Linked DNA regions of Cricetulus griseus. Each later gene encodes a partner of the first gene's protein in a complex. Links are inferred from orthologs where the notes say so. Each region holds a gene or a part of one and is shown in the gene's direction. Other genes may lie near its edges.

Region 1 (3,606 bases):
AGCCAACCATGTCCACTTGATGGACCAGGAAAAGGCAAGGTGCGCTCTATGGTACATTTTGTAGACTTAAGGAGTCTTCCTAGACCGTAGTCCTAAGGCCTTGGTGTGGGGTGATTGACATTTCTATGCTGGGTCCAGGTCATACAAATCCATAGAAACAGAAAGTGGATAAGTGGTTCCCAGGGACCTGGGTGAAGACGAGGGTAATGGGGGTGTTGGGAGTTGGGCTGGCTAGTTTTAAGTCAACTTGGCACAAGCTATAGTCATGCAAGAAAAGTGAACCTCAATTGAGAAAGTGTCTTGGTAACATTGGGCTGTATGCAAGCCTGAAGGGTATTTTCTTACTGATTGATGTGGAACTGCCCACCATATGTGGGTGGGGCCACCCCTGGGCTGGTGGTCCTGGGTTCTGTAAGAAAGCAGGCTGAGCAAGCCAATAAGCAGTGCTCCTCCTTGGTCTCTGCATCAGCCCCTGGCTCCAGCGTCCTGCCCTGTTTGTGTTCCTGTCCTGACTTCCTTTGATGATGAACTGTGCTGTGGAAGTGTAACAGAATAAACCCTTTCCTCCCCAAGTTAGTTTGGTTGTGGTGTTTCCTAAGGTAGTGAAGACTGAGGGAAGAGTAGGGTTGTCTTCTTGGGTGTGTGTGTGTGTTGAAAATGTTCTAGAATTGCTTGTGCTGTTGGATGTGTAGCTCCAGACAAGCAAAGCCACTGAAGTGTGTATTTGAGTTGGCGCACAGCCACTGAAGTGTAGCACCTCAGGTCCTGCAGATTGTGCATTGCACGTCACGTGGATAGTGTATTAATTACATCTCATTAAAATGCGCTTTGGGGTCAGCAGGATGGCTCAGTGGGTAATGGTGACTTGACTTTGATCCCTCAAGTAAATGTGGGAGGACAGAATTGACACCATAAAGTTGTCCTCACCCCTCCACTCATGCTCTGAGACACATGCATACCTGCGCTTGTGTGCACGAGTACACACACACACACACACACACACACGCACACGCACACGCACGCACGCGCACGCGCAAGCGCACGTAGGCGCATACTCACACTCACTCAACACAAAAGAAATTATGTTGGTGTGCTGGAGTTGTGGCATAGTTGGTAGAGTGCTTGTCTAGCATGAACAACCAGACTACCACTGAATTTAAAAACCGGGTGCGGTCAGGGGCTTCAGAAACTCAGAGTCATCAGCTACTTAATGAGGTAGACCAGATGGATGCATGAGGACCCAACCTTTAAAAAAGAAAAGATTATAATTTTTATTTTAATTTTAAGAAAAAACTTAAAGCAACAAAATAAGTCTCTTCCTTAAACCTTTTGTGTGGGCTCAACACGACACACCTGGGAGTGGAGTTTGACCTCTAAAAGGGATTCTAGGTGGCCCTGACTTTCAGTTTCTCAGCTCAGCAAGGGGCTGTCCTGTAAACTGTAGGTCATTTAGTAGCCTCCTTGGCTTCTACCCCTGGGGTGCTGGATGCAGCCCCACCCTGTTCTGCCAGGCATCTCGACAGCCTGAAGCAAACAGGGCCTGGGAGTTTGCATCCCCATCACCTCTGAAAGCTGCAGAGCGCCCCCCCCCATTCATGCAAGACTTCTGTTTTTATATTTTCAGATGATGGATGCCATTAAAGGGACGATGACGGAAATCTACAATGACCTCTCCAAAAACACCACGGGGAGCACAATAGCTGAGGTCAGTAGCAACTGGCGATCCCCCAGCAGTTCAGGCTTAGAAGGCCTTGGGAAGCTGGGTTAAGCAGGTGGCTAGGGAGACTCGTCCTGCTTCCTGCCTACATCCTGTTAGATCACAGTGAGAGTTGGACACCAGCTTTGGTTTGTGTGTGCTTGGTGCATCTCCTCCCACCCCCAGCAGGATTTCTCTGTGTAACAGCTCTGGTTGTCCTAGAAACTCACTCTATAGACCAGGCTGGCCTCAAACTCACAGACACAGAGATCCTCCTGCCTCTGCCTTCTGAGCACTGGGATTAAAGGTGTGTGCCACCACCCAGTCTGACTAAAGTACTTAGGTAAGAATCAGAGGTACCATAGCTCTGTGAACAAAGACAGACAGTGGTTAAACTGCCAAACTATTTACTTACAAAGTCACCTCTTATAGTTAAATAATGAAGCATCCTCGCATTCAAAGACAAACACACACAGAAGTTTATCCCTGAGTTTCCCTCGGAGGTCACTCAGTGACCACCTGCTAATACCTGTGTGGACAGCATGGTGCTGGCGGTGGCTTGGTGGCCTGTATTCAGCCATCAGGTGACACACAGGGAACAGGGTTACTTGAGGCCACTGGAGATGGTACTGCAGGCTGGGAATGAAGCCCAAGCAGAAACATTGGCCTTTGAGGCAACAGACAGGACAGGGCTCATGAGAGGCCCTGACGAAATCAATGGAGATTTAAAAAAAAAAGCATGTGCATGGCGGGCAGAGGGTGTACCTGGCATTTTTAAGTCTGATACTCTGTGTATGTCAAGTATGACACTGACAGTGTCAATCAACAAGTAGAAATCTCTCTGTCCCCAGTGAACTTTTTCTTTTGGCAGGGGGTGAGAGTGGGGTCAGGGAGATAGGAATTCATGATGCATCCCTGGCTGGCCTCGAACTCACCGAGCTCAAGGAACCTTGCGTCTGCCTCCTGAGAGCTGGGATTATAGGCTGCACCACCACACTCAGCCCTTTTTGTTCATTTTAAGCATTTGTGTGTGGTTGCAGTTCTGGTTCACGTGTGTCCCCTGAAACCTTGGGTCTAGCCTATGCTAGGATGACCACGACCCTCCAGTCCCCCAACCCTGCCATACTCCTGCATTGACGTGTGGCTGCTCACTCAGTTGCTCAGGCATGTGGCACAGGTGGCCCTTGGCTCTGGGGCCTCCTATGTAGGTTGTGGGGAGAATGGCTCACTTGGCTTGGCTTTCAGAACTAGGGTACTTTGTGTGTGTGTGTGTGTGTGTGTGTGTGTGTGTGTGTGTGTAGCCCTAGGTTCCTCTTATGTAGTCCTTACACACTTACTGTGTGTGTGTGTTTGTATGAATGTGATCTCTTTCCTCCCACCACATAATCCACCACCTGAGCTGTGGGACTATAGGCTCAGAGGCAGGCTGTCACGCAGAGCTTGGGGACAGACACAAGGGGACCAGCTGCCATGGTGGCATCTCAGGCTCCTTTGTCCTCTCTGCAGATTCGAAGGCTGAGGATTGAGATTGAGAAGCTGCAGTGGCTACACCAGCAGGAGCTTGCTGAGATGAAACACAACTTGGGTGAGTCCCCCGTGGGTGTGAGCTTCTGGCTGCTCTGGAGTCACCTGGAGTCGGGGAGAGCACAGTCCTCAGGGATCTGAGGGTGCAAGTGCAGACCTTCCCTCTCACGATAACACATTCTCTTTTCTCCTGCCACCTTCACGTGGGTTCTGGGGATTGAACTCAGGATGTCAGTCTTGGCCACAGTACCTTTGCCATCTGAGCCACCTTGGTGGCCCTTTACTGGTCTTGCCAAGAAGAACTTATGCAGGATGGAGGGGCCATTTACTTTCAATGTAAGGTTTGCTTGCAAATGTATATAATGCCCAGAGCAGAATTGTCGTGG
Region 2 (4,097 bases), on another chromosome or scaffold:
CCAGAGCTCCTGAGGCAGGGCCTGTGAAATGTGGGATCTTAAAGCCTCCCCCCTTCATCCCAGTCCAAAGCATTGCGGTGAGCGTACACACTGGCTTCGTGGCTAGATGACTGACCAAATCAGAGCAGGAGACTACTCACTGAAACCACCTCCTCTTCACAGATTAGCCCCAGTAGAGCTTGGCCAGGCTCTGGGTTCTGGCCCCTCCCTGGGGAAAGGGTTGATGGTGATGGACAGGTCTTCTGGAGCTGCGGGCTGCGGGGGGGGGGGGGGGGGCTCCAGCGTCCTCCATTCCACAGGAGAGAGTGCCGGGAGGCCTTTCTGTGCCTCCACTTACCCATAGGAGACTCTGTGAGGCCCAGGCCTTTCTGCGCTCAGAGCTTTGGGAAATAACAGACGCCAGAAAGTTCACCCTGGAGTGTCTTTGGAGGTTCTCTGCCTTGGAGACCCTACTTGGAGTTCCTTAGGAGGTACGGTGTTTGGAAAAGAAGAATGATTTCCTAGACACCCATCCAGGAGGAAGAAAATGACTGGGATGGCCAGGTGATGAGCTGGGTGGGGTAGAGTGGCTGAGACAAGGTCATAGGGCAGGGATGGAGGGAGGGGTATGGTCAGGGAGAGGGGTCTGAGCGGGATTCAGACAGGCTGGCATAGCTAGAGGGGGTGTGCTGTGTTAGCTGGGACAGGACTGCTTTTGGCCCTGGGAGTGACGACGGTAGACCAGGAGGGGTCCTCACGGAGGAAATGGGCTATTGACAACCCAGGCTTGGCTTGATGGGGAACTAAATTGGAGCAGGGACAGGGTAAGGACCAGAATGGGTTTAATGTAGGGTGGGATGGACCTGGGAATGAGGTGAGGTTCGGCTGGAGTGAAATCAATCAAGGGGCTCAATGGACCAGTTATTCTGGGGAGGCAGAGAGGGGTGAACTTGGGCCTGGAATCTTGGTGGGTTTAGAATTTAGGGAGAGGGTGTCTACTAGGTTGGGGACTAGGACAAGGCAGGTTCATGGGACTGGCCCTGGGAGCAGAGTGGGAGCTTAAGGTCCGGGTACAGGTCAGCGGGGCAAGGGGCATGGGGGCGCCCCGGGGCAAGCTGGGAAGGGGGGGTGGACCTCCCCCTGGGCCGGGCCTGGGCGGCGCTAGGACCGAGCGAGCGAGCCGAGGGAGTGAGCCGGGCGGAGCCAGCGCCCCCCGCCCCCGCCGGCCGGCTCCCCTCCCCCGGCCGCTGGCTCGTTCGCTCTCAGCGCTGCAGAGGCTCTGAGGCGGCCGCGGCGACTCCCTCATCCCCTCCCTCCGGTGTCGGTCGGTCCGTCCGTGCGTCTGTCCGTTCGGTCTCGGTCCGGCCCGCAGCATGGCCGGCGTGAGCTTCAGCGGCCACCGCCTGGAGCTGCTGGCGGCGTACGAGGAGGTGATCCGGGAGGAAAGCGCGGCCGACTGGTGAGCCCCCGCCCCCGCCCCGCCCCCGGCCCTTTGTCCCCAGGCCGCCACCGCGCCTTTGTTTCTCGGAGGCTCTGCCACCGGGAAGGGAGGGGGATCTCCCGAAATGGTGCAACGGCCCGGGAGAGCCGGGGAGGGGCTGCCTTTGTGCGAGCCGGGGGAGGGGCCGGTCGGGCCAGGCGGGGCGCGCGAGCCGGGGAGCCCCGAGGCCGCCCTGGGCGCACTGGGGGCGCGGGAGCCGGACGCCTGCCACGCGGATGTGGAGCTCAAAGGTGGGGCCCGGGGTCCTACGGCCCCGCCGGAGCCCATCCCCTCCCCCCCAGCCTCCCTCCACGGGCCCGGGGGACAGGTGTGCACGGGCCAGCCAAGGGCACCTTCGCCACCTTCGAGCGGGCGAGGACCGGGTGGGGACGGGGCGGGGACCGAGCTAGCGGAGCTGGAGCAGCCTGGCCGGCCACAGCACAAAGGAAAGCTAGGGCGGGGGAGGAGCGCAGAGGGCCGGGGGCCAGCGTGCCCCGCCCACCAGGGGCTTCTCAGGGTTGTCTCCCCCCACATCTAGGTTAGGGTGTGATAGAAAGGGGCGCACGGCCACATGGCAACCACGAAGTGACTCCTTTATCCCTCCCGGATCGCAGAGGAAGAGAGGTAGGGCTGAGCCCTTCTCTCCCCTTCTGAAGGAGGAGATCGTTAGGGACTAGGCAGCTAGGCAGGAAGAGACCCAGGACATGGACCCAGGCAGCTTGTCTAGAAGGCCAGCTAGGAGGAAGCATGGTGGGAGCCCCCGCTGAGGGATACCACGATGAGTAGATCTCTGGGACCCTAGCCTCTTCACTCTACCAGGGGCTGTCAGCCTCTTATTAGGGTGGTATGAGTGGACCTGCGTCTCTCCCCCTCCCCAGCTGTTATCCTCCCTGAGGTGGAGGAGGGTTTAAACCACCTGCTCAGCGGCTGAAGCCCCAGGGTGTCAGGCAAACCAAGGGGTTTGATGCCCCATTCTGAACACAGCCCCCAAGTGTTCTTCTTAGGGAGCAAATCTCCATTTTGCATTTAGGTCTCTTCACCTCATCAGACAGAAAGTAGGCTCCTCTTGAGTTGGGGCTGGTCTGAGGACCCCAGTTGGGCTGGCCACACTCTGGGAGGGCAGCCAGGTAGGGGGCCTGGAGGAGGGAACAAAATAGCCAGGCCTCCATGCCATGGTACTGCAGCACTGGCGGGCAGCCAGGCCCAGAGGGATGGACTCAGGAGACAAGTTCTTGTGTCTTGCAGGTCAGTTATAGGAGAGGCTGAACAGGCCAAGCAGGCAATCCCCACATTGTTGTCCCAGCCCTGTCCCTGGGGGGCTGAGATCATGGGAGGCAATCTGGGCAAGTGGCCTGCTTGGACTGGTGGAAGAGCTGGTTTGGGGATATGGCCCTGCCTGAGGAGAAACACTGACTGGAACCCTGCCTTCCTCCCCAGTCTAGGGGGGGTGTAGGCAGCACCCCAAATCTCTTAACCCCTCAGAAGCAGACACTGGCAGTACAATGCTGGGCCTATCCAACTCCTGCTGCCCCGCATCCTGCTCAGCAGAGGCCGGGGCTTTCACCACCAGCAACATCCATGTGGCCAAAGGGAGTTAGTTATGCATCCTTGGCATGCGTCAGCCCCATCTGGGTGGTGTGTGGGACACACACACACAGCTGCACATATACACCCCTGGAATGCATATATGTTTGCTTCCTCCCAAGGGCCTAACAGCATGTTGTGAACAGGGTGTGAAGATCACATTTTACAGAAGATGGCATGATCCTTCCCAGCTCTTATCACACAGCCAGGAACTGAGTGAGGTCCCAAGGTTCAGTGCAGGCCCTGCAGGAGGAGGTCCTGGGTCCAAATGTTGGGGCATGAGTATTTGGTGTCTGTCTTTGAATGTGGGTGTGGTGGAGCTTAGGGAAGCTGAGCCCTAGGTGGCAGGGTCTCTTCAGAGGACCACTGCCTTGCGCTGGAAGCAGAACACTGGGGAAGTCAGATTGTGCATTTGGAAAGGCCAGCAGCACCCTGGTTACGATATGATTCATTGTGTGAGAAGTTCCTGCTCTTCTGAAGCTTCTGAGAGAAGAGGGGGCTGGGCACAGCCCCTGCAGGGTTTCCAGGGCCTTTCCAGCTCTAGCTCCCTGACAGTATGCTGGTCCTCAGCCTTCCACTCCTAGCAGGCCTGGAGCTGCTGAAGTCCCACTCTCACCTTGCCCTAGTCTCGTGCCTGTGGCTTAGATGGTTGATAAGAGTTTGTGCCAACATTACAAATCCCTACAGTGGTGCTACTTTGAGCTGGACCCAGGACGGAGACAGCAGTTGGTATTAGCAGAGTCAGAGTTTTGCCTTCACAGAACTGACATGACAGTCTGTGGCAGTCACTGTCTCCAGGGTTTAATGCTACCGAGGGGAGCACATCTACAGTCCCCTCATCCACGTTTACTTTTTTGCTTGCCTCCCAGTTCCCACCAGCCGGTCACCAGGTGCTTGTGGTATGGTAGAGAGACGTTGTCCAGCAGGGTCTGGGGCTAGAACAGATGTCTGTGTTAGCGTCATGGGGCGTGAAACTCAGGCTGAGGCTGCCCACGGAGCTGGCAGTGTCACCCTCAGTGGTCTTCGTGTACAGATAAAGCACAAGGCAGGTTAG

Evidence for each region. The genes of interacting proteins can lie anywhere in the genome.
Region 2: the proteins of Zmynd8 (region 1) and Dbn1 are in contact, whole or in part, in a crystal structure (PDB 5Y1Z), measured with the Homo sapiens proteins. The link is inferred for Cricetulus griseus from reciprocal best matches to the Homo sapiens genes ZMYND8 and DBN1. Residues at the interface, in NP_001350670.1 of Homo sapiens: Gln167, Pro168, Gly169, Thr170, Gln236, Ile237, Val240, Lys243, Ile244, His247, Trp269, Leu285, Gly287, Phe288, Phe307, Gly309, Gln310, His311, Asp312, Ala314, Thr335, Lys336, Ser337, Ile338; in NP_004386.3 of Homo sapiens: Met1, Ala2, Phe6, Ser7, Arg10, Leu11, Leu14, Tyr17, Glu18, Asp92, Ala93, Cys96, Ala97, Ala99, Ser100, Lys104, Glu107, Phe108, Gln110.

Annotation. Positions count from the first base shown.
Region 1 is NC_048599.1:13,617,723-13,621,328, forward strand, and holds part of Zmynd8 (protein kinase C-binding protein 1), read left to right. Parts: intron 1-1,624; coding exon 1,625-1,705; intron 1,706-3,202; coding exon 3,203-3,281; intron 3,282-3,606. UniProt on the Homo sapiens protein: Chromatin reader that recognizes dual histone modifications such as histone H3.1 dimethylated at 'Lys-36' and histone H4 acetylated at 'Lys-16' (H3.1K36me2-H4K16ac) and histone H3 methylated at 'Lys-4' and histone H4 acetylated at 'Lys-14' (H3K4me1-H3K14ac).
Region 2 is NC_048596.1:274,472,952-274,477,048, reverse strand, and holds the start of Dbn1 (drebrin), read left to right. Parts: upstream 1-1,207; 5' UTR 1,208-1,352; coding exon 1,353-1,438; intron 1,439-4,097. UniProt on the Homo sapiens protein: Actin cytoskeleton-organizing protein that plays a role in the formation of cell projections. Required for actin polymerization at immunological synapses (IS) and for the recruitment of the chemokine receptor CXCR4 to IS.